4 linked regions of the Oreochromis niloticus genome follow. The protein of the gene in region 4 binds, or shares a complex with, the protein of the main gene of each other region. Links are inferred from orthologs where the notes say so. Each region holds a gene or a part of one and is shown on either strand. Other genes may lie near its edges. The genes, in order: thoc2, thoc6, chtopa and alyref.

The links.
Region 1: alyref (region 4) and thoc2 share a complex: the UniProt entries of both Homo sapiens proteins name them as parts of the transcription/export (TREX) complex. The link is inferred for Oreochromis niloticus from reciprocal best matches to the Homo sapiens genes ALYREF and THOC2.
Region 2: alyref (region 4) and thoc6 share a complex: the UniProt entries of both Homo sapiens proteins name them as parts of the transcription/export (TREX) complex. The link is inferred for Oreochromis niloticus from reciprocal best matches to the Homo sapiens genes ALYREF and THOC6.
Region 3: alyref (region 4) and chtopa share a complex: the UniProt entries of both Homo sapiens proteins name them as parts of the transcription/export (TREX) complex. The link is inferred for Oreochromis niloticus from reciprocal best matches to the Homo sapiens genes ALYREF and CHTOP.

Annotation. Positions count from the first base shown.
Region 1 is NC_031975.2:10,793,478-10,800,977, forward strand, and holds the start of thoc2 (THO complex subunit 2), read left to right. Parts: upstream 1-4,162; 5' UTR 4,163-4,252; coding exon 4,253-4,317; intron 4,318-6,828; coding exon 6,829-6,884; intron 6,885-7,500. Other genes in the region: stag2a (cohesin subunit SA-2a), read left to right, coding at 199-439, 562-672, 777-903, 1,267-1,344, 1,693-1,716. UniProt on the Homo sapiens protein: Component of the THO subcomplex of the TREX complex which is thought to couple mRNA transcription, processing and nuclear export, and which specifically associates with spliced mRNA and not with unspliced pre-mRNA.
Region 2 is NC_031969.2:34,256,319-34,264,023, forward strand, and holds the start of thoc6 (THO complex subunit 6 homolog), read right to left. Parts: upstream 3,081-7,705; 5' UTR 2,937-3,080; coding exon 2,922-2,936; intron 2,373-2,921; coding exon 2,281-2,372; intron 2,194-2,280; coding exon 2,129-2,193; intron 1,403-2,128; coding exon 1,299-1,402; intron 1,219-1,298; coding exon 1,181-1,218; intron 1,090-1,180; coding exon 1,041-1,089; intron 631-1,040; coding exon 559-630; intron 254-558; coding exon 151-253; intron 1-150. UniProt on the Homo sapiens protein: Component of the THO subcomplex of the TREX complex which is thought to couple mRNA transcription, processing and nuclear export, and which specifically associates with spliced mRNA and not with unspliced pre-mRNA.
Region 3 is NC_031985.2:35,541,547-35,549,101, forward strand, and holds the start of chtopa (chromatin target of PRMT1a), read right to left. Parts: upstream 3,405-7,555; 5' UTR 3,078-3,404; intron 2,445-3,077; 5' UTR 2,420-2,444; coding exon 2,355-2,419; intron 1,310-2,354; coding exon 1,159-1,309; intron 1-1,158. UniProt on the Homo sapiens protein: Plays an important role in the ligand-dependent activation of estrogen receptor target genes. May play a role in the silencing of fetal globin genes.
Region 4 is NC_031969.2:13,796,982-13,804,704, forward strand, and holds the start of alyref (THO complex subunit 4), read left to right. Parts: upstream 1-4,469; 5' UTR 4,470-4,612; coding exon 4,613-4,858; intron 4,859-6,270; coding exon 6,271-6,429; intron 6,430-6,521; coding exon 6,522-6,669; intron 6,670-6,765; coding exon 6,766-6,829; intron 6,830-6,914; coding exon 6,915-7,119; intron 7,120-7,214; coding exon 7,215-7,229; 3' UTR 7,230-7,723. Other genes in the region: mcrip1 (mapk-regulated corepressor-interacting protein 1), read left to right, coding at 41-105. UniProt on the Homo sapiens protein: Functions as an mRNA export adapter; component of the transcription/export (TREX) complex which is thought to couple mRNA transcription, processing and nuclear export, and specifically associates with spliced mRNA and not with unspliced pre-mRNA.

The sequences.
Region 1 (7,500 bases), on a different chromosome or scaffold from region 4:
ACGTCACTCGTAAACATAAAAATGCGTCTCTCTCTTAGGGACATGTATTTCTCCTAGGATCCTCTTGCAAAATGTTTCATGTTAATTCTCATCACAGCCTGCCACTTTAATAATAAATCAAACAGCTCACTCATTGTTATGGCCACTGCGTGTGTTCAGTAAAATTCAAGGAGTGTAACAAATGATTTTCTCTGGCAGAAGAGAACAGCAGTAGCAGCAGCGATGCGGTTTGGATGAACCGTGAGCAGAATGTGCAAACGCCAGTGATGATGCATTCACCCCATCTAACTTCCACTGTACTGAGGGATCCAAAGAAAATGAGGCCAGAGGACAGCTTCACAGCCACGTTCACCATGCCAGCAGAGCAGCATCCCCATCAGCCTGTGCCCCCTCAGCAGCAGCAGCCACACCCTCAACACCAGACTACCATTGATTACAAGTAAAAAATATATGTATTACATTATTGCATACATGTCCGCAGAGGTTTTAGTTGCAGTACAGTATGTAAAGCCACTTTTTTAAAACTGTGGGAATTATGAAGTAATGAACCCTGTTCCACAGTACCCAGGTTACTTGGATGCTGACACAAAGGCAACAAGCTGAAGCCCGTCAGCAGCAAGAGCGGGTTAGCATGCACTACGCCAAGATGAGGAACCACATGCAGCAAGCAATGTAAGAAGTTCAACACTTAACTGTTTTTGGCCGAACTTTGAGCCAATAAAGAGTCTGACAAAAAGCAGTCTACTGACGTGTTATGTTTTTGTTACTCGTCACAGTCGTCGAGGCTCTGGGCTCATGGAGGATGATGAGGAGCCAATAGTGGAGGATGTGATGATGTCATCTGAAGACCGCTTGGAAGATATCAATGAGGGCATGGATTTTGACACAATGGACATCGATTTGGTAATTAAAAAAAACCAAAAACAATAGTCTAAATTTGTCTAGATGCATGTTTAATCATTCCAGTAAGGAAATCCTAGGAAGTTGATTCAGCTGATTTGGATGTGGCATTTTCAGCAGGAGATGAGTAATGAAACATTTCTCCCACTGAAAATGCAGCATCCAGATGAACTGAACCAAATTTCCGAGATAATCTGAATCATGTGTTAGCAGAGTAAGCATCCTTCAGTAGTCTGGTCATGCCAGTCCTTCCAATAAATAAATAATAAAAACAAATGTTGATGTTAAAATTTATAATTTTTTTAACTGTATATTTTTTTTTTTCATCTTGTGGAGTATTCTTCTAACTGAGCTGTTACCTTTCAGCCGGCATCAAAGAATCGCAGAGAAAGAACCGAACTGAAGCCAGATTACTTTGATCCATCTTCCATCATGGATGATTCGGTAGGAGTATTTCACTCCTTATAATAACTTTTTCACTGTGTTTTGGATGGCACTGGTTACAGTCCTTGAGATAAGTTCATGTTCTTGAAACGATTTTTCTTAACTGTTTGAGTGAATGCCCAAGTAAGCATGATAGATCAACGTACAGTTCACACATGCCTAGCCTTATTTGGTAGGAGTCCATTTTCTTGTTATTTATGACCATTTGATTAAAGAAACCCAAAGGATGAACCGCTTTAGGTGTAAAAACAGCCACATATTTCTCATCTGTTCATCCTGTACACTTAATATATGCTTGTTTTTATTTGGTTCTGAATTTTTAACACTGCTTTTTTCTTTTGCCTTTAGGTTCTCAATGTTTCAATGTTTTAATATGAAAAGGACAGCATGTCATCGAAATCCTGGGACGGTGAAATGACTCTTTATAAATGAGAGTGGACTGGACTAAGTAGGCTTGTGAGACACCAATGTTTGCCTCTTTAACACTTTGTTAAAACTTAGGAGTGCTTGAGCTTGGATTTGAATTTTATTCTGCTATTTTCACACACCGGATTTTGGTCACACTGCGGCAGAGATGTTTCAGTTTTTGTTCAGTTGCCCTAAAAAAACTTGATGCCAGCTATCACTTGGCTACACTTGTTATAATGTGTGAAGCGTTACAGGTACGGATATTGTGTGGCAGTTTGCATGGTGATGGGACAATAACAGGCCAAAATTCAATTGAATGATGTATACCTTTAAACTCTTTAAGTAGACGAAAAATGTCTGTAAATACATAGCGGCCAATATACAGGGAGGGTGAACACAATTTCATGAACACCAGAAAATATAATAGGCTTGCAGAATAACACTACTGTTTTGATGCTTGTAGTGTTCAGTTATTGTTGAACACTATAATGACCCTGCACTTTGTTACAGAGGTGGTAATTGAGCTGGATGGTTATTTTTAAGCTTTGCATCGAGAAACTATCTTAGGTGTAAACGAACCCCCTCTCTGATGCAATCTGAACATACACTGAACATATAATGTTTCATAATGGCAGCAGTTATTAAATGGCTACTGCGTTATATTGGAAGGGTGTCAGTGGTATTGTTGTTCACCTTCTGAACTTTTAAACTGTAGATTCTGGCATGGCATGTAGCCATATATCGAAACATGTACACAGTAAAGTATAATGTGAACTGGCGTGTCATACTGTTTAAAGGCCTTGCCACAAGTTATATATATACAGCATTCTCAGATTTCTTTGTGATGGTATTTTTTAGAGACATGTGTTCTGCTTTTATACCTTCTAGATAACTTTGATTTATAGATATTTTGTAATGACAATCAAATGTAAATTAATGGTTTCTATTAATCATGTTATTTCACATAGAGATTAAAATGATCCTTTTTAAAGGAAATGATTATGTTACTATAGATGTGGCCAGCTGTATTTTCTTTTCGTCTCTCTGTAGCGAACGGGTACAAACGTACCTCATTGCTCAGATGTAGTAATTTGACAAATTGAGGCTGCATCTAAAATTATTTTTTAATGTTGGAAGAAATCACAATGTTGTAAAATTTTGACTCGACCTCAAATATGTAATCTCTCCTATATATTAACTATTTTTTTCCACTGTATAGTATCTAGTAATATCTAATATTAGAGACATGCCATGATTGCAATCTTTAAAAGAAAGGATTTTTAAAATGGTTGAGAACGATGTGTGTTTGTTTGGTTTTGTTTTGTTTTTCCTATTTGCAGGTGTTCAGAAATAGTTTTTCAAACTGCCAGTTTGGTTGGTTTGCCACTGCTGCGTGTATAAGAGTTATAGAAATATTCTAAATTACAAAGCTTCTAAATTCTTTAGCCAACAATCATAGTATCAGAATTGTATATTATACAGTTACAAATGTGTAATATATTGTGAATCGGTGCTCATTTTATATTTACTGTTTCTTTTTGTGTGAAATTTTGGGGAATTGTCAAAGGAAAAGAATGTAAGTCTTTGACATTAATCTACTAATTTGTAAGTGCACACACAGTGCATTGTTTTTTTCTTTGTTTTACCGTGGATTGTTCCGGTATTTCCTCTGTGTATTGGCCTGGCTGGCAGAATCAGACTTTATGGAAGAAGGTGTAATCATATTGTAGCTGAAAATGAATACCTTATTTCCTCAGAGTGTCACTATAATCTGGAGAATCAAATCATCTGGTCTTAAACATTACCACATACATAATAACTATTCATGTTAGGCAAATGAGAAAAACACCTCTTAGACTTGCCTGTAAATTTACATGACTCATGTCATTTTGGAGCTTTTCTGTTTTGCATCAAACTGCTGAAAATGTGCAAACATCTGTACGTTTATACATATTTAAATATTTGCATATATTAAATTTGTGTTTATATTCTATTTACAAAGTGCCCATTGCATCCTTTACTGTTTGTATTTATGTCTGGAGATGTAACATGAACAGAATAAACCCTCTACAACTGTGTGATGATTTAATAACACAGCAATAAATATGATTTGATATGGTATTAGAACACCTGTACTGTAACTATAACTGGCTTTTACTGATGAAACATGAGTGCACCGGAGGATTATGGAAATCGCAGCTGTCCTGTAGTTTGTTATGTTTAGGTAGTTCTTAGAGAAAATGTTACCGGTAGATTTAAATTGGGTTGTTCAAGTGTCACGGGATTTTATTTAACTAAAAAAGTTAAATAGTACAACGTGGAGAATCAAACTTATTCCCAGACTACACGACCATCACCACCACTCCGTGTGAAAACCTCGGACGCACAGCTGTCGATGTCCCACAATGCAACAGTGATCTAGCAGCGGCGGCTAACCACCACATTTGACCCTGTGTGTGCCATGATGATAAACTAGACATCCGGGCTGTGTGCATGGAAGATGGCGACACTTACCCTTCCTGGTGAATGGATCAAAAACTGGGAAAAATCAGGAAAACATGAGTTGTGAGTGCATCTGAATTTCAACGCAGTGTTGAATTTTGCATTTGTTTACCCGTTGTTTGCGAATAAAAAGTATCAAGAATGACGTAGCTAGCATTCAAATATAAGGCCGGTCTTTAGGTGTGTTAGCTTTAGCTAAGCAGCTAAAAGATAAAGTGGCTTACAAGTGTCACTTACTTAAAAAACAATACGTGTAATTTAGTTGCTGAGTATTGAATATAGTTAATTTGGTAGACTTGTGAAAAGAAGACTTCAATGGCTTTGAACGTCACCGTGGAAGCTAATGCTGTCTGCTAGCAGTCAGGCTAGCTTTACGCTCCCATTTGATTCGCCGTCAATGTGTAAACACTATGGCTGTTAACGCTAAGCGAGCTAGCATACACATAGCATACTCTTCTGTTGGTTCGATATCGCACTATCCAGTAAACTGGCGTAAATGTACTTCCAAAGTTCAAGGAATTAGCAGCCATCAACTTCGAGCAGACAACCGAGAATCAGCTGGCGAGAAAACCCCTTGGGCAGCCTGTTATAAACCTTAACACTAAATAATCGTGTGGAGGGAAAACAACGGACATTGACAAAACGCTTTAGCAGATTAGCCGTAACGTTAGCTACACTAATTGTTGTGTTGAATTCCTTTTCGTATGCTTTAATGTTTAGGCGGGGAAGCCTGGAAGAATAAAGATGACGCTTTTTGATTCAGTGTAACAAAACGTATCATTTGACGATATATTTTTTTAGGAGATGAAGATTTTAATCATAATGTTAACCTAGCTACAGCTAACGTCATACTTTTCTTAGCTGGCGTTAATTTCACCTAGATAATGGTGTAAGATAGCCGCTGTACGGTTTGCATAGAGACTGTGGACATAGCCAAGGTTATTCATCGATGCACATCTGTGCGCTTGGTGCTGTATAAAGGCATCTCGATTACCAGAGTCAACTTTATCACTAACATTACATGTCAAACTTAATAATTTAAGCAGTACTGTAAAAGCCTCTCCCAACACCTTGATGTACGGCGACTGTTATCTTAAAATTAGTTTCTTTAGAACAAAAAATACAAGAAAAACGTTGCGTGAATGATAATTTCACGCATTAATTTTGTGCGCTGCCATCGCCTTTGAGCTGAGACACAATAGGCTCATCCACAGTACTAGCTACGATTATGTGCTGTAGGCCTTACATATTTAAGAAAGGCCTGCAGTGGGATGCACCAACTCAAACTCTCGTTCCACTATCTTGTGTCAATAACTGATAGCACTTTAACTGGAAATTATGCCAAACAGTTGCAACTACGGGGTAACCATTAAAGTATTTCCATCAAGGCAAATTACCCGTTATACCAAAGCTGAGTACATTGCAGTGGAAGTGTTATTTGGCAGCACAGTGAGATGCCATCCTCTGTGATGACAGGCAGTAAATGAAAAGGTGGATTTCGTGTTGATACTAAAAGTATCACATTGTTATTACTTAACCAATATTTTTGACCTTATAATTCATTGATATAAAACATTGTGGACCTCTGGATCTACATCTTTTTTTTTTTTTAATATCATTTAGTCATACCAGTTGAGTTGCAATTAACCAGTCCCAGAGGCCAGGGTTTAGTTTAAAGTGGTGAAAATGTTGTCAGCCTCATTATACAAATAGCAGCTTTGCTTCGTTTGACCTTAGAGGCTCCGGCAATCCAAGGTGTCCGCTTGCTGTAACTCTGACTTTTTGTAGCATTTGCACTTCTTGTTCACAGTGTGTTTAGCACCTGACAAGCTGTTATCTCTAACAATTAAGCTGATGGACTGCGTTGAGTTTCTTACAGAGGAAAGGAGCTAGTGTGCTCCAGTGTGTGTAATTATACCTTTTAATGAATGGGATGTGCATGGCAGAACGTGCTCGATTAGTCTGCCTTTGTCATCACTACTTCTGATATTTTAATACCAGTCAAGCTGTCAACTGGGTGAACCGTAAGTCTTTCAATCCACCAGCTAAGCTATTGGACTAGTCACAGTCAGTTTAAGAGGGAGAAACATGGCACTCAGTAAATACTAACTATAAATCTGTGTGAGTGTTTGGCAACAGAAAAGGTAAGGGTTGTCCCGCCCAAAGATTCAGTCAGTAATCAATCCAGCAAACATAAGAGCCAGTGCTATTGTTATATGCACACACAGCAGTTTCAGCATAAATACTCGTGTAGTGACAATGTAGGTAATATAATATTTCTTGAGTTACTACATTGATAATTAGGATAAACCTAAAGCTTTATCCGGTGTAATGTTAAGACTGGATTAAGGCGTAAATAATGCAATAGTGTTATGTGATCTAAAAATATAACTTGGAGGAAGTGAACGGGATATTACAAGAATAATGTTATGTAGAAATTGTTGGCACGGAACAAATGGATTTAAATAAGTTTTCATGCATCCTGGTTCGTTCATTGAGCTTTATAAGGCTTTTCATCATCATGTTTTTGTACTCTAGTTTAATTTAAAAAAGAATTCTCTCTTTACTTCATAGTGTACAACTCTGCAAAGACCTTACAGAGAAAGCAGATCATGGAAGTGAAATTAAAGGTGAGTTGAGTGTGACCCTCGTTCCTTTAATAATATTCTTGTATGCATCTGTCACTGTATTTTAGCTTGCTCTTCATGCACACACGTCCATTTTGGGAATTCTCATAGTTTCCAAAAAGAATGCAAAAGGTTTAAAATTATTTACCAAAAATAGATTTAAAAAATAAAATCCATGAATTTCAGAAGTGCTGTCTAATTTTTGAAACACGGTACTATTCATGTTTAACAATGGCTGTAAGGTAGAAGGGAATTAAGCAGCCCATGTGGAGATTTCTGTTTGGTGTGTGCTGACACATGTCACAAAATTTCAGATAACACTGTAATCAAGTGATTTTATATCCAAAAGGTCAAATTTAACTAGGGCTGTTCGATATAACGATATATATCGGATGACGATACAAAAACATCTGTTGTTTCCTATTACGCTATCGTTTGTTTCGTGGCGTCATAAAATAAACTGTTTACAGCAATATTTTTTTCATCGTTTTGATGCTCACTGTAGTGGATATATTAATTAAAGTTTTCGCTTTCTCTTATATTTAATATAACCACACTATGGACGGACAAACGCCTGTTTTTACATGTTGTCGTTAGCAACAATGACGGTAAAACCACC
Region 2 (7,705 bases), about 20 Mb from region 4:
GTAACAGCAACACATCACCTTCATCATCACTTCCATCACCATAATCCTCATCATCACTAATGTCATCACATCACCATCACCATCATCCTCACCATCACCATCCTCATCCTCACCATCCTCCTCACAGTCCCATGTTTCCTGTGAACTCACCCCACACCCTCACTGCTCCGTCCTCTCCCCCCGACAGGATCTCCGCCTCCCTCTCTCTTACAGTCACGCAGTGGACGTAGTCCGAGTGACCCTGAAGGACGGTCTGAAGACACAACACAAACCCGTCACCATGGAAACACAGAACTCCCCCAACAGATGCTGCCATGAAAATCAGATTGAACAGGTGTGAAACAGTTCAGTGCACACACGGACGTCCAAGTAAAAAAACTGCAGTTCCTCTGACGTCCAGCAGAGGCTCCAGCAGTGAATCGGTCCCCACAAACTCACACGTTAACAGCAGAAGTCATCATTCACACACACACACGGATGACAGTGACATGCTGTAAGGAGAAAAATACCTCAGCGGTTATAACATGAAACGTGGAGTCAGTTTTGTTCCCCACTCACCTTGAACACACCGTTTTCCAGGTCCATGACATGGATGTTGTTATCGCCTCCTCCAACCACCAGGCTGTTATCCTGACACAGAAACACAACTCCTTATGACACATTGGAGCGACACGTCCGACAGAAACACAAATATCCTCATTATCATCAGAAAAAAGGCCCAAAAATGGAACTAGCCCCCCAGTGCATGCTCCATCCCTTCTAAAAACACCAAATTAAATAACATTCAAACTTAAAAAAGAGTAAAGAGTAAAAAGAAGTGTTTAAAAAGTCAGAATAATAAAAGGACTTCAATAAAAAATACAAAAACAAACAAAGGGGTTTAGTAAACCAGCGGCTCTGACGATGACGATGAGGAGGATACTCTTCATACTGTCACAGGTTTGTGTTTTATTTCAGGTTCCAGTCTTTTCTGTTCGTAAAGGTGGGCCAGCTTTAATGCGATGAAGAAAAGCAGAGGAGAGAGGTGGAGGTGTACTCACTCTGGAGTTGATGGTCATGGAGTTGATCTCTGGGATCTCCAGGCTGGATCTGTAAGGAGACAGCAGATGTTTGAGTGAGGAAGGAGACAGGAGGCAGACGGGAAGCAGACAGGAGGCAGGGGTGGAAGGCTGGTTCTCACTTGTAGTTCGGTCTTCGGGTCCACAGAGGTTTGACGTTCTGAGGAAGCAGAAACACAAAAATCAGGCAAACTCGTTTTTCCTCTCCGTCTGTGTGTCCCTGAAGGCGTTCTAGGTTACCTTCTTGGTGAGCTCGCTCCAGCTCCAGGCGCTGATCTCTCCATTTCCCGCGCTCAGCAGGTGGCAGTCAGTGGACAGAAGGGAAAAGACCGGCCCCTCATGAGCTGCAGGACAACAAGACCAAAAAGGAATCTGTGAGGACAGTGTGTCCAAAATCAACACGGACACAATGAACGGCCACTAAAGTCCCAATGAAACCATAACTCCCCACAAAGCTGCAATAAAAATCACAATAAAATGAGCCTCAAAAATATTGACTCACAAACACACCTGGAACTCCACCTGGTGGTGTAAACAGGAACTACAGCATTATTTTTTACAGTGTGTCATATTTTTACTGTTGGTGAGCTGCGTCGAGCTTAGACTCAGAGGTTTCTCTTTCTACCTGTCTAAATCACCATGGTAACTGATGCTGAAGCCCTCACCTGGTCAGACGCAGGCTTAATCCTGAGTTTTGGTTTAAAATCAGCTGGAACCTTCACGTTTTCACTGATTCTTTATTTCTAGTGTCTTCAGCATGACGCAGATGTTTGTCACCAAAAGGACTGAACGACGCTTCAGCGCCTCACAGGAGCGTCCAGTGTGACAGGATGTTTAGCGCTCATGTGCAGGAAACAGATAAATGTTTGGTTCTATCACAGAAACAAAAGGCTGGAAAGGTGAGTGTGTTTCATGTGAGTGAGCTCAGACTTCCTCGGTTCTAATCACGTTGTTGTTTTTTCTGCCACTGTTCGAGTGCAGGTGTAAACACCAACAGGTACGCCTGTGATGTCCTCGCCATCCTGCAGAGGCTTCGTGGGTTTAGGGTGACCTTTGACCCGAACACTCACCTGTGAAGGTCAGAACGGGTTTCTGGTTGAGCGCGGTGGAGTCTGGACTCAGAGCTGCAGACAAACTGGAAAAAACAGCATTGAGAAATGAGAGGTGTGGCCCTTCAGTGCGAGTGAGCGCAGGCGAGTCGAACCAGGTGCGTTTGACTCACCTGAACACTGCGATCTCGCCGTAGTTGTTTCCAGCTGCCAGGAAGCGACCGCAGGGAGAGAAACTCTGAGAGAACACGGACATGTGCAGCAGCTGCAGACACAGACAGGTGCGTTAGTCCAAGCACCACAACACAGGTGAACAACCACACCTGTGCAGGGACATCTGGGTAACTTAAAGTTACCACGTGGTGCAGGACATGCAGTCATGTGACGTCACCTTTATTCGCCTGAGTGTAAACATTCCAATCAGCTTTAAATAAGCAGTTTGTGAATAAACGTGCATGTATCTATAAACAGATGACTCGCAGCAAAGGTTGTTACTAATACTGATCACTTCCGGTCAGTAAATCTATCGCACATCACATTCACCTCAACTTTTTAAAAAGCGACTAAAATTTAAATTCTTAAATTTAAATTCTTAAATTTTAGTTAAAGACTCGAATTTAAGTTCAGTGGAATTTTAAACGGAGTTCGTTTTGAGTCCGTTTTCCGGTAAAACAGAGAAAACCTGAAACTAATCTGAGCTCGTTCACTTCTTTGTTGATTTTTCTATCGTTCAGCACGAAGCTCGCTTTACTCTCAAACATCAGCCGGTTTCTCTATTTCCTGTTTCCGCTGAGATAAACGTTGTAAGCCTCACCTCCACGGGACCCATGCTGCTCACACAAACTCTCCGAGCTCCTTTAAGGCGAACACGGCACAAAACACCGAAACAGAAGCAAAGGAACCAAAACTCAAACAGAGGAGGGAAAGAGCGGACCAGGGCGAAGGAATGTGACGTCACCAACACTAGCCCCGAGGATTCTGGGAGATGTATTTTAGAAGCGACAAGCCTCTTCTCCTCAGCGGCTTGTCCTCCTCTGCACATCCTCCTTCACTGCATCCACGAACCTTCACTGAGCTCTTCCTCTTCTCTTCCTGTCATCAGCTTCATCATCATCGTTCTCCCTCCTCTGCACACGTACAGACCGTCTCAGCCTCCCTCCTCCCTCCTGCAGATCACAGAGACGCCTGCCTGGTCTCATCAGCCATCCCGTCGATCAGCATTGCAAACAAGCAGCGGGTCAGAGCAGATCCCTGATCTACTCTCACCTCCACCTTCAACCACCTCACCGCTGTCCTCATACGTGTGCTGCACCACCCTCACATACTTCTTCATGGTTCCTCGTGCAGTACCGTCAATCATCTGCTTCCTCTGATCCACAAACACACAGAAGCTCCTTCTCATCTAAAATTCTCCATCAGCACTAACATCACAGCTCTTCCTCAGCATGAAGCCACACTGCTGCTCGACAATCATCACCTAGCTTCAACATCTCTGTTGCACATGTTGGTGGTGTGGCTCACCAGTGTCATCCTCTCTCCTAGACGTCTCCACACCTGCACAGGTACACTGTACTGCCAAAAGTATTCACTCGCCAAATCATTGAATTCAGGTGTCCCAGTCACCTCCATGACCACAGGTGTTTAAAGTCAGCAGCTAGGCATGCAGAAAGAATGTGTGAAAGCATGGCTCGCTCTCAGGAGCTCAGGGAACTCCATCGTGGCGCTATCATAGGATGCCACCTGTGCAACAGGTCCAGCTGTGGAATTTCCTCACAACTTAACATTCCACAGTCAGCTGTTAGTGGAATTATAACAAAGTGGAAACAACTGGGAACACCAACAGCTCAGCCATGAAGTGGTCAACCGTGGTGCGAGGATGCGAGGCGCAGAGTGCACAGGGGTCGCTGACTCTCTGCAGAGTCAGTCACTACAGACCTCCAAACGTCATGTGGCCTTCAGATGAGCTTAACATCTGAATGCAGTGGTGTAAACCACGCCACTACTGGACTCTAGAACAATGGCGGCGTGTTCCCCGGACTGACCAATCATGCTTCTCCATCTGGCGATCTGATGGACGAGTCTGGGTTTGGCGGTTGCCAGGACAACGGTACTTGTCTGACTGCGCTGTGTAAAGTTTGGTGGAGGGGGGTTATGGTGTGGGGTGTTCTTCAGCAGTCTTCGTGCTTCAGCAGACCGAGACACTGTGGACACCTTCATGTTCCCAGTATGTGGGAACAGTGTGGGGATGGCTCCTTCCTGTTCCCACATGACTGCACACCAGTGCACGAAGAAAAGTCCATAAAGACATGGACGAGCCGGTTTGGTGTGGGAGAACCAGACTGGGCTGCACAGAGTCCTGACCTCAGCCTGATCCAACACCTTTGGGACCAATCAGAGCGGAGGCTGTGAGCCAGGCCTTCTCCTCCAACATCACTGTGACCTCACACATGTGCTTCTGGAAGAACGATCAACACTTCCCATAAACACTCCTGAACCTGTGGAAATCCTTCCAGGAGACGCACAGCTGCACACAGACATATTCACTGGAGTTCATGGCAGAACGATGGATCTCATCCGGACCAGTCTCTTTCCACTCTCCACCCTCGTCTTAGCTGCTCTCAGAGTTATCATAGTTTTATACTCTCAAATGATTTTGTATTTTTATTTCATTTTGAGTTTTTAATTCACTTTAGTTTCCAGAGCACATTTTCTTGTGTCGGTTCAGTTCGGTTCACAGCACAAAAAATCATCAGCTGCCCCCTGCCCTCCTTGTCTGCTGTCTACAACTCCTGTTGTCTCAGCAGGGCCAGAAACATCTCAAAGGACACTACCCATCCGGCTACCATCTTTTCAACCTACTGCCGTCTGGCAGGCGCTTCAGATCCATTCAGGCCAGGACAAACAGACTCAGGGGCAGCCATCAGCATACTCAACTCAAACTTGCACAAAAGTGATCTGCACTGAAATATCATCAATTCTCTGCCTGTCTGTCTCTGTCATCTAGTACTGTACTGTGTATTTATATTTATATTAAGTGTATAGTTAAATTATTGTATAGTTTTTATAATGTGCTAAAGCACTTGTGCACTTTTATAGCACTGTTTCTAATCTCATTATACTATGTATAATGACAATAAAGGCTTTCAGTGGCTCTGACCTCACATGTCATGAAGACGCTGGAGAGACTCGTCCTAAAACATCTGCGGCTGCTGGTGGAGCCTTGGCTGGACCCCCTGCAGTTTGCTTATCAACCTCGTATCGGTGTGGAGGATGCCATCATCTACCTGCTGGACCAGGCTTATTCTCATCTGGACATTGTTGGGAGCACTGTGAGGGTCATGTTCTTTGACTTCTCCAGTGCTTTTAACACGATCAGACCATCACTGCTGGGGAATAAGCTCACGGAAATGCAGGTGGACGCCCCACTGGTAGGTTGGATTACGGACTATTTAACAAGTCGACCACAGCATGTCCGACTGAAGAGCTGCCGCTCAGATAACATCCTGAGCAGCACAGGGGCGCCACAGGGGACGGTCCTATCACCCTTCCTTTTCACCCTCTACACATCTGACTTCAGGTACAAGTCTCAGTCATGCCATCTGCAGAAATTCTCAGATGACTCTGCCATTGTGGGCTGTATCAGGGATGGACAGGAGGAGGAGTACAGGAGTGTGGTGGACAGCTTTGTCGAGTGGTGTGAGCTAAACCACCTACAACTTAATATCACAAAGACAAAGGAACTGATTATGGACTTTAGGAAGCAGGCTCCTCCTCCTACCCCTGTCACCATCAGAGGGGCTGACGTGGAGATCGTTGAGGACTACCGGTACCTGGGGGTACACTTGGACTGTAAACTGGACTGGACCAAGAACACCAATGCTATCTACAAAAAAGGGCAGAGTCGGCTTTTCCTACTGAGGCGGCTCAGGTCCTTCAATGTTGGTAGGAAAATCCTGACCATGTTCTATCACTCGGTGTTGGAGAGCGTTGTGTTCTTTGCAGCTGTGTGCTGGGGAAGTGGGGTGAAGACAGCTGATGCCAACAGGCTGAACAAACCGATTAGAAAGGCCGGTTCTGTCCTGGGTGTCAGACTTGAGAACCTGGAGGAGGTGTCTGAGAGGAGAATGCTAAAAAAGCTTCTTTCTATCATGGACAACCCCTCCCACCCCATGCACGCCCCCATGATGGACCATCGGAGCAAACGCGGCAAAAGACTCATTGCCCCGAAATGCAGAACTGACCGCCACAGGAAATCCTTTGTACCGGTGGCAATAAGACTGTTTAACTCTTCCTCACTCTGTAGGTGATTCTCCTGAGACTATTACCTATGTTATTCTGTTCCCTCCCAGACCGTGCAATATTACCCAAGAGTACTTATTGAATATTTGTTTTCATCCCCCCATCATACGCTGCTACTCCCTTCATTCTATTGCACAATACTTTGTCACTTTCTAGAATCGCCTGCACTGATAGTTTAGTTATTTATTCACCAGGATATAGTTATGTATATTACTTTGTTAGAGTTATCCGATTATTTGTCTTGCACTATCCTACTGTATATTACTGTACACTATTCTTATTGTATATATATTGTATATCTTATATCTATTTCATCTGTGCCTCGGTCTCTCCTGCTGCTTTGAGCATGTACATGACAAAAGAATTTCCCTCGGGATAAATAAAGTTGTTCTTATTCTTATTCAATTCAATTCAAGTTTTTCTTAGTTTTGGTCTTTCTAAGTATTATTATTGGCATGAGTCAGTGCAGGTATTAAAATAAAACAGGATTTTTTTAATTTTTTTTTTTTACCAAACTTACAAACACATTTCTTCTCTATTATTGTTTTATTTTGTTTTATTTTGTTTTGCAAGTTTACAAAATAATTCAATTTTTACTTGAGTTGATTAAAATGATTTTTCACACTTGGCTTCAGTTAGCTGTGATAACCTCGGCTGACCTCACTTCCTCCATCCTGCTCTCTTGCTTCATTCATCAGCTCCACACAGAGCTCCTTCCATCTTTCCGTCTCTATCTTCACCTTACCACAGGTGCTCGTTAACCTGACCATCTCATCTTTACGATGTGCATGTTTGCTCTGACATCAGATGGACTTCCTGATAAAACCCTCCTAGTTTATCTGAACCAGGACTACACTGGCTTGTGGTCCCCGTGTGGCTGGGAGACATTGTGATATTTTGAAAAATAATAAATATAAGACAACAAAAGGGAGATAAACAGTGTTCAATCTTCATAATGTGGGAAATTTTGTACAAAAAAGGGAAAAAGTGCCGATAAAATGTTGTTTCAGTTTAAAACATTTTGGTATTTGCCACCATCTCACCAGTGCAGCTGAATCATGTCGATTAGATCTGATTAGACTTTTATTGTGAAGTATTACTTGATGGGATTTTTGGGATTACTTTATCTTCTTTTATTTTGGTATAAGTTTGTTTTTTCTGACAGTCAGCTGACTGATGAATGGACCAGCTGAGGATTGCCTTTCTCTTTTACACAGCTGACTCACATCAGTAATTAAGGGGATTTAAGCCCAGGGACAGGTGAGCTCTGGGCCAGAGTGCCATGTGAATGGTTACAGC
Region 3 (7,555 bases), on a different chromosome or scaffold from region 4:
GTTCAGCTTCAGTTGTGCTCTTTATTTACCCATCGCTGTGGTGAACAGTAGCATCAGAGAACCACAGATGACCGATTTCCTTCTCTACTCACACACTCAGGCCACGTCCACATGGACACGGGTGTTTTTGTACACTGAGATTTTCCGTTTTCGTTTAAAAAATAAAAAACAATCCCGTCCAAATTTATATGCAAAAAACTAATTTAATAGCTTTCGAAAACATGCCAAAGCAACAGGTGGCAATATAATCAGGGGTGCACATAAGTGGTCCGCAGGTGCGCATTCGCTGTCAAAATAAAAGACGCGCACCGGATAAGAAGTTGCAACGTGCGTTTGCGTACATATAAAAGGGACTGTTTTTGTCCGCTCGAGTGGGATTTCCACGGCATATTCTGCACCACATCTCTGTGTGTTCATCATTTGTTTGAAGCCAGCTCACCTCCTGCAACCACTTTTCTGAGAGTACGCTCTTCTTTTGCGGTTCGGACTCCTTCTGACATTTCTTTGGAGGTGGAGGAACACCAAAGTAATTGCTTAAAGGAGCTTCTTTGACATCTTTAAGAGTTCTAAACAAATGTCTGTCCTCCTCCAGAAAATCTTATGTACGCAAACGCGCGTTGCAACTTCTTATCCAGTGCGCGTCTTTTATTTTGACAGCGAATGCGCACCTGCGGACCACTTATGTGCACCCCTGGATACAATCCTAACCCTGTAGAAATGTTGGCCAATCAGAAGTCGAGCAGCCTGGGAGGGAAAGTGTAAACAAAGATGTCTTTCTAAACTGTGTTTGTATACGTAAGCATGTAAAAACTGCAGATACTCAGATTAACAGCAACAGTATTTTGTCAACATCATTGTAGAAATTCATCTCATGTAAACAATAACGTGTGATGCCAAAAAAGGTGCACACCGTTGGCGTTGAGTGACTAAATCTCTGTTTTCTTCGTCCACACATAAACACAAAAACAGTTTTTAATAATCTGTTTTCAGTGATGCAAAACGCTGTGTACGTGTGGACCAAAGGCCCAAACGCACAGAAGAAACTGCGTTTTCAAAAATACCCATGTACATGTGGACGTAGCCTTAATTTGGGTTAAACATACTCAGATCGAACCAACAGTGCCACGGACACCAATTTCACCTGAACGTCGCGCTCACCTGCTTGTGATTCAGAGCAGCTTGCACCGAAGGCCGGTTCTCCATCTGCTGGGCCAGCCGACGATTGCGGGCGCTAGCCAAATGCTGCTGTTGCATGGTGGCTCGAATGCTTACCGCAGTGGGTTGCTTGTTCTTCAGCATATTAGTGAAGCTTTAGAGGTGGGAGGGAAAAAGAAGGAGGAAGTAAAAGAAGGGGACAGGGGATATACAGAGGAGGAGGAAGCAGGGTTCCACATCATGTCATTTCTCATATGGATGATCGTGGCAGCTCTTTAGTCATGTTAGACTTTGTTCCACTTGTTGGCACTTATTTTCTCTCTCGATCATATGATATTCCAGAGTTACTTACACTTGACTTTAGCCCGTGTTGTAAAATTAACACAAGGAGAAAAAACAGTTGAAAGCAGACTTCAGGACAGGAGAGAGAAAGTTTCAGAAGAAGAGCCACAATTGCCACTTACAAGCCTCCAGCTGACACTGCGGGGATGTCATCATGTCGCAGCAGCAGAGGCCAGGGCATGAGGTGTGCTTTGGCACCCAGCCACTTACAGGATGGACCGTGACTTTATTTAAACCACCAAGTGGTCCGGAACTAGGGAATTGGTGGGGAAGGGGTAGTCCCTTGTCACGTCCAAGCTAGGACTGAGTACTCTGAGCAGGGAAAGGAGGAAAGAAGAAGAAGACAGACATGGTAGAACATGAGGAGATAAAAAGCTTCACTTTGACTGGTCTGAGAGAGAAAAAGATGAGAGGCAGAAAAGACAAGATGCCCCATCTCAGTGACTTAGCTTTAGCTCTCTGCTCTCCTGCCCCATTTAATGGTGTATACATGACGTATACAGTGCTGTTTAAACAGGGAGCCAGCGTGCCAAGGTATTTACAGGACGGTGGTCTGGTTCTGCGTATGCTTTACCAACCACGACCGCTACAGTCACCCCTCATCTACATGTGTGTGCTGCTCACACAAAACATTTGGCCTGGGCAAGCCCCTTCTGCCCCACACTTCATTTACATGTAACACAAACAAGGACAGGGCCAACAGAGTTGAATGAGCAGCGCACACACGGGGAACAGCCAGAGCTGCATCCATAACAGGTTTGGTCCCAACAGTAGGTTTCCGTAGAGAGTATTAGAACCTTCACAAGCCAAGGCTGGCAGCAGGTGACTAATTTCTGACAGGGTGCGTAGCCTCTCACCGCTCATTTAGGGACACTTTGGTGGTGCTTTTCAGGACAACTTTTTGGGAGGCAGCTGCACTCATTTTGAAAGACTTTGATTGTAGAGTCCTGGAAACAGAAAAGACAGAACTTGTTTCACCTCCCTCTCTTTTACACATAATGTATGCACTACTACTAGATGTTAAATGACCACTTTTAACCCTGGAGAAGCCATGGGGTCAAATTTGACCCCATGGCTTCCCTAGAAAACCAATGGGGTCGGATCTGACCCCATGGGTTCTCCAGGGTTAAATCGCTATTGCAAGGAATTTGCTGTAATTAACATCTACAGCTGTTACATGTGTGTTTAACAGAGAGATTATTTTGAGGACTACACACAGTTTCACACAAATCCTACTGGGATCGTTTAAGTAACAGTCCTCCTGGTAGGAGTAACACACGACCCCCTCCCACCCAAGCTAAACTTCAGACCAGCCCGACTGCCAGTTTGGTTGACTTAGCAAAGTTTTCAACTTCTTTAAACTCTTTTCTGTGTCAACGGCATTTAAAATGATCGATTCTTTAGGGGAAATTTTTAATTTGAACACAATTATCGATCACGTCCGCTGGAAAAATGAAATGTTTAGCGAGCGCCCATCCGGTTATAACAAACTGCAGAGACAAGAACAAGGAGTAACGATTCCGCCTCGTCTTCGCTAACATGTCGTTTATCGACGAATAACAACTTTATCTCATACTTACAGCGGATTCTGCGTTGGTAGAGAAATGCCTCAAAGCTAGCTAAGGTTAGCTTTAGCAGCACAGCGGCTTCGTATAGGTGTCCTTGTATCCTGTTTAAATACAATTTACCATATACTAACTCCCCACGCACGCGCGGCTTGAAAAAGCGCGTGAGTAAGCGACCCTATATCAAACTCTCCCAGGAATATTGTAAAACGTGGGAATCGAGACTCCTCCGCGATCCGAAAGCCTAAAATGGTGCTCCTGGCTACACTGATGGGAAGAAAATGGAGAGGTTCTTGTGACGCTGACGTCACGAGGACACGACTTCCTGTCCGCTCGTGCTGGTTCAGTAAAATGGCAGCTACAGCTTTAGTCGAAGGTTCTTCTGGTAACGATGCTGTTGCCGAGGGTTTGCTCGACCTCCTGAGACCAGCAATACAGCAGCTCGATCTGCATGTAAACTCGGTCAGGTAATCAGCTTCCTCGTTAGATTAGACTGCAAACCGTGCTAGCTTTTTCTCTCCAATGTATTGACAGTCAGCTGACTTTCCCCGTCAGACTGATTGTTTTGTTGTTCAGTTTTCTCTGGACTCACGTGACTATTCGTTTCTTTGCAGAAAAAGCCAAGTGGAATTAAGAGAACATATAGACGGTCTGGCCACAGGTAAAGTCCTGCATGAAGTCCTTCAAATATAGCATCAGCTATAAAAGATTCATAAATAACGTGCTGGTTTTTTCAGAGTTATGCAGGATAAACGAACATCAGAAGGTGGCTCTGGACCTGGACCCATATGTAAAGAAGTTGCTGAATGCGAGGCGTAGAGTTGTGCTAGTAAACAACATACTGCAGAACGCTCAGGTCGGTACCAGTCTGTAGCTGGGCTTCTTAAAGCCCCCGAGAAATTGTATCACATGTTCTGCCCCTGTCAGCATGCCTGTACAGCCTTGGTCACATCAGACATTAGGCAAGAAATTAGTCTAATGTCATATTGAGCCCCGATAAGGGCGGTACCAGAGAACAGTGAGTGGGGATCACGTGTGCCACCTGAGTAGAACATGTGAGGTAGAGTAACTATGGAAGTTGTCTGAATTTGATTCTCCTGACATTGCCCGACTTCATCCACATGTTCATGTACAGCTGTAACTGCAGGGTGTCTGTGTGATGTCATTGCCACAGCACAGTTATTAGGTTTAGGGGACACTAGTTTTTTCACATAGGGCTGGGTAGGTTTGGATAACTTTTTGAAATCATCAGGTTATCTTTGCAAAATATTTAAATTTGTTTAATACTCTGAAACATGCAAGTGTGACAAATATGCAACAAATGGGGCAAATAATTGTTTTACTCCATTATAATTGTCTAGGTAGACTCTGCAGTGCACACATGCTCAAGGTAGACGAGATTGACTTTAAGAAAAATAAGTATAATAAGAACCAGTTTCCTGGCCCTGATGTTTACTGGTGTACATGTCTGTAAGCAAGTAGAATCCCAGCCTTAGAAAGTAGCAAGTGAACATAGTGGAGCATTTAGCAGCTCTAGACCCAGATATTTATCTTTAGCAGATTCAAGCTGAGTTAAAAGGAAGTTGTTGTTGTGTTTATAGCTGGACCAACAACTCCAGATAGAGTTAAAGCTGCTTTAAAACTTTTGTACAGCAAGAAATGAAGAAGTTCTTTACTTTATGTTTTTGTGATTATATAAATTAAACTGAATTGAATTGACTGCTTCTGTACCAGTGCACCTTTACAACTATTTATACTGCTGCCAATTATACACTAGCACTGGTTGTATTACTACCACTGTACAACTTCCACTATAATAAATAATAATTACTGCTATTAATAATATTGCTACCATCACCAGCGCTACAAATACTGTATGAAGAGACTTGTAATTCCGATTTCCATGGCGACCACAGATATACTAACTATTCAAGTTGCCTCAAAATGGTGTAAAAACAATACAGAAACAACATTACACAACCTGAGCTTTCTTTGTCCAGGAACGTCTGAGGCGGCTCAACCACAACGTGGCCAAAGAGACGGCGCGGAGGAAGACAATACTGGAGACCTCGGGCGTCTTTGCTTCCCGCTCACCTAGTAAACCATGAACCTCACCTTGAACCTCCTTCTGCTCCACACAGCAAATACTGTGAGCTATTTTGATCAGCAGCAAAGGATGATTGTGATTATAGGAAGCTAAAAAACAGGAGGGGCCAGTCTTCCTTTGACATTTGCTTGTCTTTTTGTTTAATACCTTGCTGATGTTCTGCACTGCTTTTGTCACAGTGAAATTCCAAGCTGCTGTCTGCTTACCATTTGACAACTTCAGAGTACGGGCTTGCAATACAGTGGAGATATTTATGTAATAATTCTAATGCACTCAATAAATAGATACACTATGTGGACAAAACTATAGGAGCCACAGCTCTTAATCTTTTGATGTTTTTATTCCCACATCTGTGTGAAATCAATCACTGGCTTTGCAACCTGCCTTCACAAACATTTTTGAAAGAATGGGTCATTGTAGAGAGCTCACTGTATGGCAGTGTGGAAGTGTACAAGACGCCACTGTTGGTGAATTTTCACTCCAAGATAATACACAATCAACTGGAAGTGGTATTCACTGGTGTGAAAAGTGGAAGATTGTACATCCTGAGAAGGAAAGGAAGCACTGGTGAATCCAGCAACACAAAAAGACCCGGACGGCCACAGAAGACAGCAGTGATGGATGATCACAGAATCATTTCCATGGTGAAAAGAAACCCCATCACAACCATGTGAACAACACTCTCCAGGAGAGGTTGCTGTATCCATGTCCAAGTCTACCATAAAGAGAAGACTGCATGAACATAAATACAGAGGGTTCACTGCAAGGTGCAGGCTACCCATAAGCCTTAAGAATAGAAAGGCTAGATTGGACTTTGATTAAGAAAAAGAATTGAAAAAGCCAGCACAGTTGTGAAAAAACATCCTTTGGACAGACAAAACCAAGATCAACCTCTACCAGAATGATGACAAGAAAAAAAGTATGACGAAGGTGTGGAGCAGCTCATGATCAGAAACATACCACATCATCTGTAAAACACAGGGGAGGCAGTGTGATGGCTCGGGTGTGCATGGCTGCCAGTGGCACTGGGACACTGGTGTTTATTAATGATGTGACACAGGACAGAGGCAGCAGAATGAACTCTGAGGTGTTCAGAGACAGCCTGTCTGCTCACATCCAGCTAAGTGCAGTCAAATTGAATGTTTCATAGTACAGATGGACAATGACCCCAAACAACCCAGGAGTTTATTAAAGAAAAACAGTGGGATATTCTTAAATGACCAAGTCAGTCATGATCCTAACCCAGCTGAGCATTTCACTTACTGAAGACTAAACCTGAGACAGAAAGGCCCACAAACAAACAGCAACTGAAAGCTGCTGCAGTAACGGCCTGGCAGAGCATTAAAAAGGAGGAAACCATCATCTGGTGATGTCATGAGTCCAAGACTTCAGGCTGTCAGTGTCAGCAGAGGGTTTTCAACCAAGTATTAGAAATGAACATTTTATTTTCAGTTATTTAATTTGTCCAATTACTTTTGAGCCCCTGAAATGAAGCGATTGTGTTTTAAAAAAAGATCCAGGTCCTTTCATTTTTATGCAATCGTTTTGTTCAACCCACTGAATTAAAGCTGAAAGTCTGCACTTCAGCTGCATCCAAGTTAATTGAAAATTCATTGTGGTGAATTACAGAACCAAAATCAGAAAAAGTTGTTACAGTTCCCTGTCCAGGTGTAATATGTAGGTGGCTCAGAACTTTTGTCCATATAATGTACAATAAATACTTCTATCCATGACTGCAATGTTAGAAATGTTGCTCCTGTTACAACATGCAAGAGAGAAGAAGATACTTTACCTGTGATGTTATGAACAGTTTCTGTGGTTGCTGCTGGAGCCACTGGCACATGGAGGTCATTTGCTTCAGGACCTTCTCCCATGCAACATGACTAATGTTGTTGAAAGGGTGTATTTTAATCCAAACATTTTCCTAAAATAAACTCTCTTTTTTTTCCCTTTTTTTTTTTTTTACTAAAACCTGAAGATAATGTAAATTATTATAAGACTTTGTATCAGAAAAGCCCCAAATGTAGACTACTGGCTATCTGTCATGATGTGATCTGAGTAGTTTGTTTCGCTGCCTCTTATTTGTCCTGCAGTTAAAAAGCACAAGCTTGTCCCCTCTTAATTTTGTGGCTGTTTAATATCCACATTTGCCCTGGAGTAGTTTCAAAGCAGATGCGTATTGTTAATAGAGTACTTAGAGGGACTGTTTTGTATAAATCAGAGTAGAAACTTGCCTACTTGTGGAAAGTAAATTCTCTGCACATGTTGAATTGTATTTTCAGCTATAGACACATTAAATACTTAAAGATACTTAAATGCAAATGTACCTGTAGAGCATAGTGTCTTTAGTTGTCTGTCATTTTTACCAAATCGTCACCGCATTAGG
Region 4 (7,723 bases):
GACGTGCTGATTAACTACTCGTTTCCTTTTGTTCTTGCAGCTTTCACACCAGTGGACCTGAGTGACCTCAAAAAACGCAACACACAAGACTCCAAGAAGTCCTAGTCTTTCTCTTAATTATCCCATTGCTTTTTTTTTTTCTTTCTCCCATACATTATCCTCGAGAACTTTTCCTCCGTCAGCCCTCTTGTCAGCCAGAAAGTTATCGTTGTTGGTCAGTCTAATACAGAATGCAAATCTAATTTCTAAACTCTGGACCATAGCAAAGCTTCTCTTCCTTCACCCTCGAAGACTGACTAAAAAGAAAAAGTTGGATTTCTTCCCTCTTCTCTCAGTTCCTGTTTTTTCCAGTCGCATTCGATATGTGGACGGGACCGATGCAAAGATTCATCCAAAATTTGCCGACTTTGTACCTCAGCTTTTTTTTTGTCTCCACAGGACGCAAAAGACTTCAGTCTTAAACGCGACGCTACTACTACTACTAATATGACATGGGAGGAAAATATGAAAGGGCTGACTTCTTATTTGTAGTTTTATTTTGTTTATCATTAATTAAGCAAGTGTAGAAGTAATTGAACATTCACACACACACACTTTATGGGCGAGTTTTCAAAGCCAAAACAGAGTGTAAACAAAGCCAACATTTTTATTATACATTTTCTTGCCCTTGGTCGGACTTTATTAAGTAGAGGGCCTCCCCAAGTATTGATAAATCCCCTCCCATTCCCCTCTTCTTTCCCAAAGCCTTGAAACAAAATGTTGAATAAAAAGACTTTTACATTACTTGTAGTTGTACTTATTCTACATAAATACATCACTGTATTTTTATCACATTAGAATTCTAGTTTTGTATTGGCCATGAGTTGTAATTAGTTTTTGATCCAGTTTATTTTCAGCTAGTTTCCAGAGTTGAAGTTCAAAAATGTTCGGTTAGCTTTTGTTTTCACCAGTATCGGTATTGTTTTAATTGTTTTTCTTTTTAATTATTATAGTATTTTGTTATTTGTCAGATGCAATATTTAAAAAGTCAGCAATTTAGATGTATCCCTTTGCAAGGCACTTGACGCACAGTCAACATGTAGGGCGGAGCAGATGATACTCCAAGGGTAAAGACAACCAGGCTTGACCTTGTTGGGTGATCTTACTATCAAATCATACATATATGACCATTTTAGAGGACTGATATTTCTCAGAACCTCCTTTTTAAGGCAGACTTAAACAATATATACACTATAATGACAAATGTATTCACTCAACCTTCCAGATCACTGGAATTCAGGTGTTCCAATCACTTCCATGGCCACAGGTATATAAAGTCAAGCACCAAGGCTTACAGACTGCTTCTACAAACGTTTGTGAAAGAATGAGTTACTCTAAGGAGCTGAGTGGTACAGTGATGGGATGCAACCTGTGCAACAAATCCACTCGTGAAATTTTGCCACTACTAAATAGTCAACTTTTAGTGGTATTATAAAAAAGTGGAGACGACTGGGAACAACAGCAACTCAGCCACAAAGTGGTAGCACATGTAAAATTACAGAGTGGGGTTAGCAGATGCTGAGGAACATAACGCACAGAAGTCAACAACTACAGACCTCATTCAGATTAGAAGGACAGTGTACAGAGAGCTACATGGAATGGGTTTCCATGGAAACAGCTGCATCCAGACCTTACATCACCAAGTGCAGAGTGTTGGATTCAGTCGTGCAAAGCTCGCCACCACTGGACTCTAGAGCAGTCGAGACGTGTTCTCTGGGGTGATGAACCACGCTTTACTGTCTGGAAATCCGATAGGCAAGAATGGGTTTGGAAGTTGCCAGGACACCAATACTTTTCTGACTGTATTTTGCCAGATGTAAAGTTTGGTAGAGGGGGAATTAAGGTGTGTTGCTGATTTTTAGTAGCTGGGTTCGGCCCCTTAGTTCCAGTGAAAAAATTGTTGTTTCAGCATACCAAGACATTTTGGGCAACAGTTTGGTGGATGGCCCCTTCCTGTTTCAACATGACCACAAAGCAAGATCTATAAAGACATGGATGAGCAAGAACTTGACTAGCCTGCACAGAGTCCTGCCCTCAACCCAACAGAATATCTTTGACATGAATTAGATACTGCAAGACAAGACTTCTCATCCAACATTAGTGTCTGACCTGACAATTTGCGCTTGGGAAGAATGGTCCAAAACTCCCATAAACACCCCTAAATTGTGTGGAAAGTCTTCCCAGAAGAGTTGAAGTGTGGGCCAACATCATATTAAACCCTCTGAATTAAAATTGGGCTGTCACTCAAGTTCACATGTGTGTTAAGACAGACAAGGATTATAGTGTATATGTAGAATAGTACTGGGGTGGCCGTAGCTCAGGAGGTGGATCAGAAGATTGGTGGCTTGATACATCTATCGAAGTGCAAACGTGTGTCAGTGTTTGATAGAAAGCACGTAGGAGTTAGATAAAGCATAGAAATAAATCCTTGTATGAATGGGTGAATGAGAGATGTTGTGCTCAAGTAGGCTCAATTAGCGTAGAAAAGCACTATATAAGCAGGGGTGCATGTGCTGTCAAAATAAAAGACACGCACCAGATAAGAAGTTGCAACGTGCGTTTGCGTACATATGATTTTCTGGAGGAGGACAGACATTTATTTAGAACTCTTAAAGATGTCGAAGAAGCAAGCTCCTTTAAGCAATTACTTTGGCGTTCCTCCACCTCCAAAGAAATGTCAGAAGGAGTCCAAACCGCAAAAGAAGCGCGTATTCTTGGAAAAGTGGTTGCAGGAGGTGAGCTGGCTTCAAACAAATGATGAACGCACAGAGATGTGGTGCAGAATATGCCGTGAAAATCCCACTCTAGCGGACAAAAACAGTGCCTTTTATATGTACGCAAACGCGCGTTTCAACTTCTTATCTGGTGCGCGTCCTTTATTTTGACAGCGAATGCGCACCTTATGTGCACCCCTGAATATAAGAACCAGTCCATTATCATTTATATTACACCTATAGGAGCTTTTTTAACAAATCTCATTATATACTGATCCATTTCGCAGCTTCCACATTCTGGGAAGGCTTTCTACTAAATACCGGAGTGTGTCTGTGGAAAGGTTTCCCCATTCATCAAGAAGCTGTTTGTTTAATTTAGTGGAGTAGATAATTCTATCTTGCTGATTAGTTTAACTTAGCTGAGTGCTTCAAATCTCCAAACATCAAATGGTGATTCTAAACTGGCTGTAGTTAAAAAGGTGTAAATGGTTATTTGTGTTTCCACGTTACCCTGTGCATGGTGTACCCCACCCCTTGCCCACTTTCAGCTCTGCTCGACCTTGAACTGGATATGTGGTTAAAAATATCGATGGATAGGTGATAGATAACTGTGTCTGAACTGACAGAGTGTGCCAGCAAGGGATAACTAAGCCAAGGGTAAAAGGGTCTTAAATAATTTATTGAATTGGACTGGATGAATGCAGGCATTGTTAAAATATCCAAACCTAGTTGTCAGTGCGGTAATCTCAACCTGCACAGCTCTGTGTAGCTGCAGCTGTTATCACACTATCAACGCCTGAAAATTGGATACTATATGACTCAATGCATTTTCTATTTCTAAATGTGGAAAAATTATGAAATTGATCCAGGGGGTAAAATAGCTGTTTACTAAGCTTTAAAAAAAGCAATGTTGAAAATGGTGCTTTTATTCAAAGCACCGTGTTAAAGATTGTCATCCATACAGTTGGATTTTATGTTTATCCATTCCAAAACCAGTTTTGATGTATGTTTGGGATCATCTTCCTGTTGAAACACCAAATGTGTCCAGGTTTCAACCACTTAGCCACTGACTTTAGGTGAAGTGAGGTGATTTGGAAGTGGTCCTACTTCTTCGTTATTCCAAACACTTTGTGCAATGTAACTGTCAGCAGGCAGTGTCTGGCTTAGGTGCAGTTTGGACAATTGTGGGGTGTATGTCTATAGTTTAGCCTGTGCTTTACAATCATTCCACACTGGAAAACGTTAGTTCACAGAAATCATTAAAAGTCAAAAAAATTACCATGACGATCGGTTATGACCACAAATATGTACATATTTGTTCAAACTGACTTACAGTGTTACATTTTCTTTCTTTTTTGTTTTCTTTTATTTCAGTTATTTTATACACACATAGCTGTAGTAGTTTGTGTAATGAAGACTTTCAACTACAACTCAAACTAATGAAATTTACAGTGAAACTGTAAATTTATTTTATTTAATATTTATTTAATATTTAGATTATTTAAATAATTGTAGATTCATTGTATTGTAGATTCATTGTTTCGGACGATACTGTTGATTGCTTCATTGTTTCGGACGATACTGTTGATTGCTTACCGATACTCATCTATGGAGCAAAACAATAGCAATTCCCTGTTGGTAACTTTGTACCAACATCTGATTGGACAGAAAGATGTTACTACGCATTGACGTTTGTCTACGTATGATACGCAACGAAACTGTTTTTCAGCAACCGTCTGCTCATTGTGTTTTGTCGTCGGGGAGAGAGGAAAGGGCAGGGAGCGGGACCATTGAAGTCTAGGGCTGTACTTTTTTTTTTAACTATTTCATTAACAGTTTAGCATTATTGGGGCAGCATAATGACCGATAAAATGGATATGTCTCTAGACGACATTATCAAGCAGAACAGGCAGCAGAGAGGTGGAGGCCGGGGCGGCAGAGGTCGAGGCCGCGGAGGCGCAGGTGGCGGCGGCCGTGGAGGAGGAGGCCCCGGGCGTCTCGGAGTCAGCGGTGGAGGATTTGGAGGCCGAGGCGGCGGATCCGGCCCGATGAGGAACCGACAGATCCCGAAACGCGCTAGAGGCAGACCAACGCCTTACAGCAGGGTATGAGAAAGTTAAAGGAAAAGCCTTCGACAAAGCTGAAAATGCCTGGTTAACGTCGTTCTGTAGCTAATCCCCTAGCCAGCTTGCTAGTCAAGCGAATAAAATGATTGCTAACCGCCGAGTTTTCCCTTCGGAGGAGAGCTCTATAATTGGCGGCTATGCATTAATGGAAGTTGTATGCATATTGTGTCCCTTCTCCCACAATCCATATGTGTTGCATCCTTTTTCAAGAGGAGCCCTTTTTGGAGAGAGCAGTTGTGTTAGCCGTGTTGGCTAACTAGCTAAAGTTGGATCGTAAAGGCCGAAGCGGCGCCATTTTGAATCAAGCACCTTAATTTAGAGCTAGTCGTCCAAGGTCCATATCGGTGCTTTTCCACCTCTTGAGTGAAATTGATGGTGAAAGGAAATCGCATCAACGAGAAATTCTACCCGCACGCTACTATCGTGGGAGCAAAATTCTTCTTTTTTTTTTTTTTTTTGGTCAAGTCCCAGCGCAGCGACCAGACGGCCTTTTGTTCGGGAGTGGCTGACGCTCTTCTCAGCAAGGCCCATTTTGGTGGCTATTCAACCGGTGTGGCTGTTGCTTTTTGGATGGATCAGTGGACTTTAAACCTCCTCTCTGATAATTTTCATGTTAAGGCAAATCATCACTCCTTAAGTGTGAATGAATATCTAAACAAAGCCCCAGTCAAAATGGCGTGTCTCAAAATGGACGCTCAGATAATCCACGCTCATTGATGGGGGGATAGCTGGGCCCCCTTTCGGTTTGTTTACATCCCCATCCCCACTCTCGTGTTATGGACATTTCCCCCTTCATGAAAGCCCTTTTCGTGGCTTGGTAAAGAACTCTTGGGCGGGCCTGGAAAACATGGTGCAACGCTGGAGGCAACGCTGCTTCAGATGGCGACCCCCTGTGTCCCTGAGGATCATATCTGGAGGGCCTCTGGTGGAGGTGCAGCTGGCAAGAAAACAGTGGGCAATTTTTGTAGCTAGCATGGGAGGTTGTTTGGGTTTTAATGTAGAGGTTATGGGTGGGAGTGGGATATAATAAAATCAGTTGGCTCTATTTGAACTTGGTCATTGAAAAGACATGTACTTTAAAAAAAAAAAAAATGTATCCAAAATGTATGCATGTACAGGTTGTATACAAGACATCCCCTTGCCTTTTAATTTTTTTTATATATATATTAAGTTGTCTTGTGTATGTCCTTATCTGTCCGAAGTGATTCACTTGCTTGTAGTGATGGGGTGGGCAGGGAATAGTGGGGATCCTCTTGGGGGACCTGAGCACCCTGACCATGTTGGAAGTGGAGCCCCTGCTTGCCCCAACACCCAGCCGTGTGGACTCTGTGAATGACAGAGGGCAAGGGGATCCTGAAGTCAGCAGGTGCGTTCTCTTTCGTCTGTTGCAGCCTAAACAGCTTCCAGATAAGTGGCAGCACGACATGTTCGACAACGGCTTCAGCGGCTTCAATGGTGCTGCTGGAGGTGGAGGAGGAGCTGGCGTGGAAACTGGAGGGAAGCTCCTCGTGTCCAATCTCGACTTTGGGGTCTCAGATGCAGATATTCAGGTATTTTAAGTTGTTTGTGATTCTTGGCCTGGGTTGGTGTGTTTAACAGTGTGGATCAAGAGGACCAATTGTTTTGGACGTGTGTTTGTTAGGAACTTTTTGCTGAGTTTGGAACTCTGAAAAAGGCTGCAGTTCATTACGACCGATCAGGAAGAAGCTTGGGAACTGCAGATGTCCACTTTGAAAGGAGGGCAGATGCGCTCAAGGCCATGAAGCAATACAATGGCATCCCACTGGATGGTAAGTCTTACGTTCTTTGACCTGCCAGTGCAAACAGTTTCTTAAAGTTTGCTGCTTCTGTAAAGATTTTGAGGTTCATGGTGTTTGTGTTTTTAGGGCGCCCTATGAACATTCAGCTCGTCACATCACAGATCGACACACAGAGACGGCCAATGCAGGGGTAGGTTGATATTTCTTTTTTGTTTGGGAGGGGGGGGCAGCAAATGTATTGATGACTTGATGTGTAAAGGCTCCTTTATCTTCAGTCTGAACAGAGGCGGCGGCGGAGGAGGCATGATGAACAGAAGTCGTGGTGGTGGCGGCTTTGGAGGCATGCAGAGAGGCCGTGGAGGGCGTGGTGCAGGTGGCCCTAGAGGACGTGGACGAGGCGGCCGTGGTGGTGGTAGTAGTAGCAAGCAGCAGCTGTCAGCAGAGGAGCTCGATGCCCAGTTAGATGCCTACAATGCCAGGGTATGTTTACCTGAAACTTGTAAATATGATTTCTTCTGAGTAACAGATTGTCCATTTTCTCAGATGTCTAATTAACTCTTGGTTTGTTTTCTCAGATGGACACCAGCTAAGAACGTAAAAACGAGCTCCTGAGGGTCGTCGTCCCTTCCTGTCTGCACAGAAGGGTGGCTGTTACAAATGTGCAGAATATTTTACACTTGGTTGTCTTCTAATGTGATTGAAAATATTGCCCCACCTCTTGTTTTAAATGCTCCAAAGTGTTTTTTACCAGTTTTGTTTGTGATAATTTTTTTTTTTTTTTTTTTTTTGTTTGTTTGTTTGTTTGTTTTCTTTTCTGATGGAAAAAATGGTTTCGACTGTAGGTTCTGGATCTGGGTTTCCCCAGTTTGTTCTTCTACCCTGTAGTTAAACACTTGTAATAAAAACCTGCAGTGCATATTAACCACATTAAATGTCCCAGTTTTTGTTTTCTGGTCATATGTCTACTTGTGTACAAGTTCACTATAAAATGTATGATTTCACCTGTAGTGTATCAGGATTAAAGACCTGTATTTGCTGACATTTCTGTATTTTGGAATAAACACTTGCATTGTTTTGGCAACTT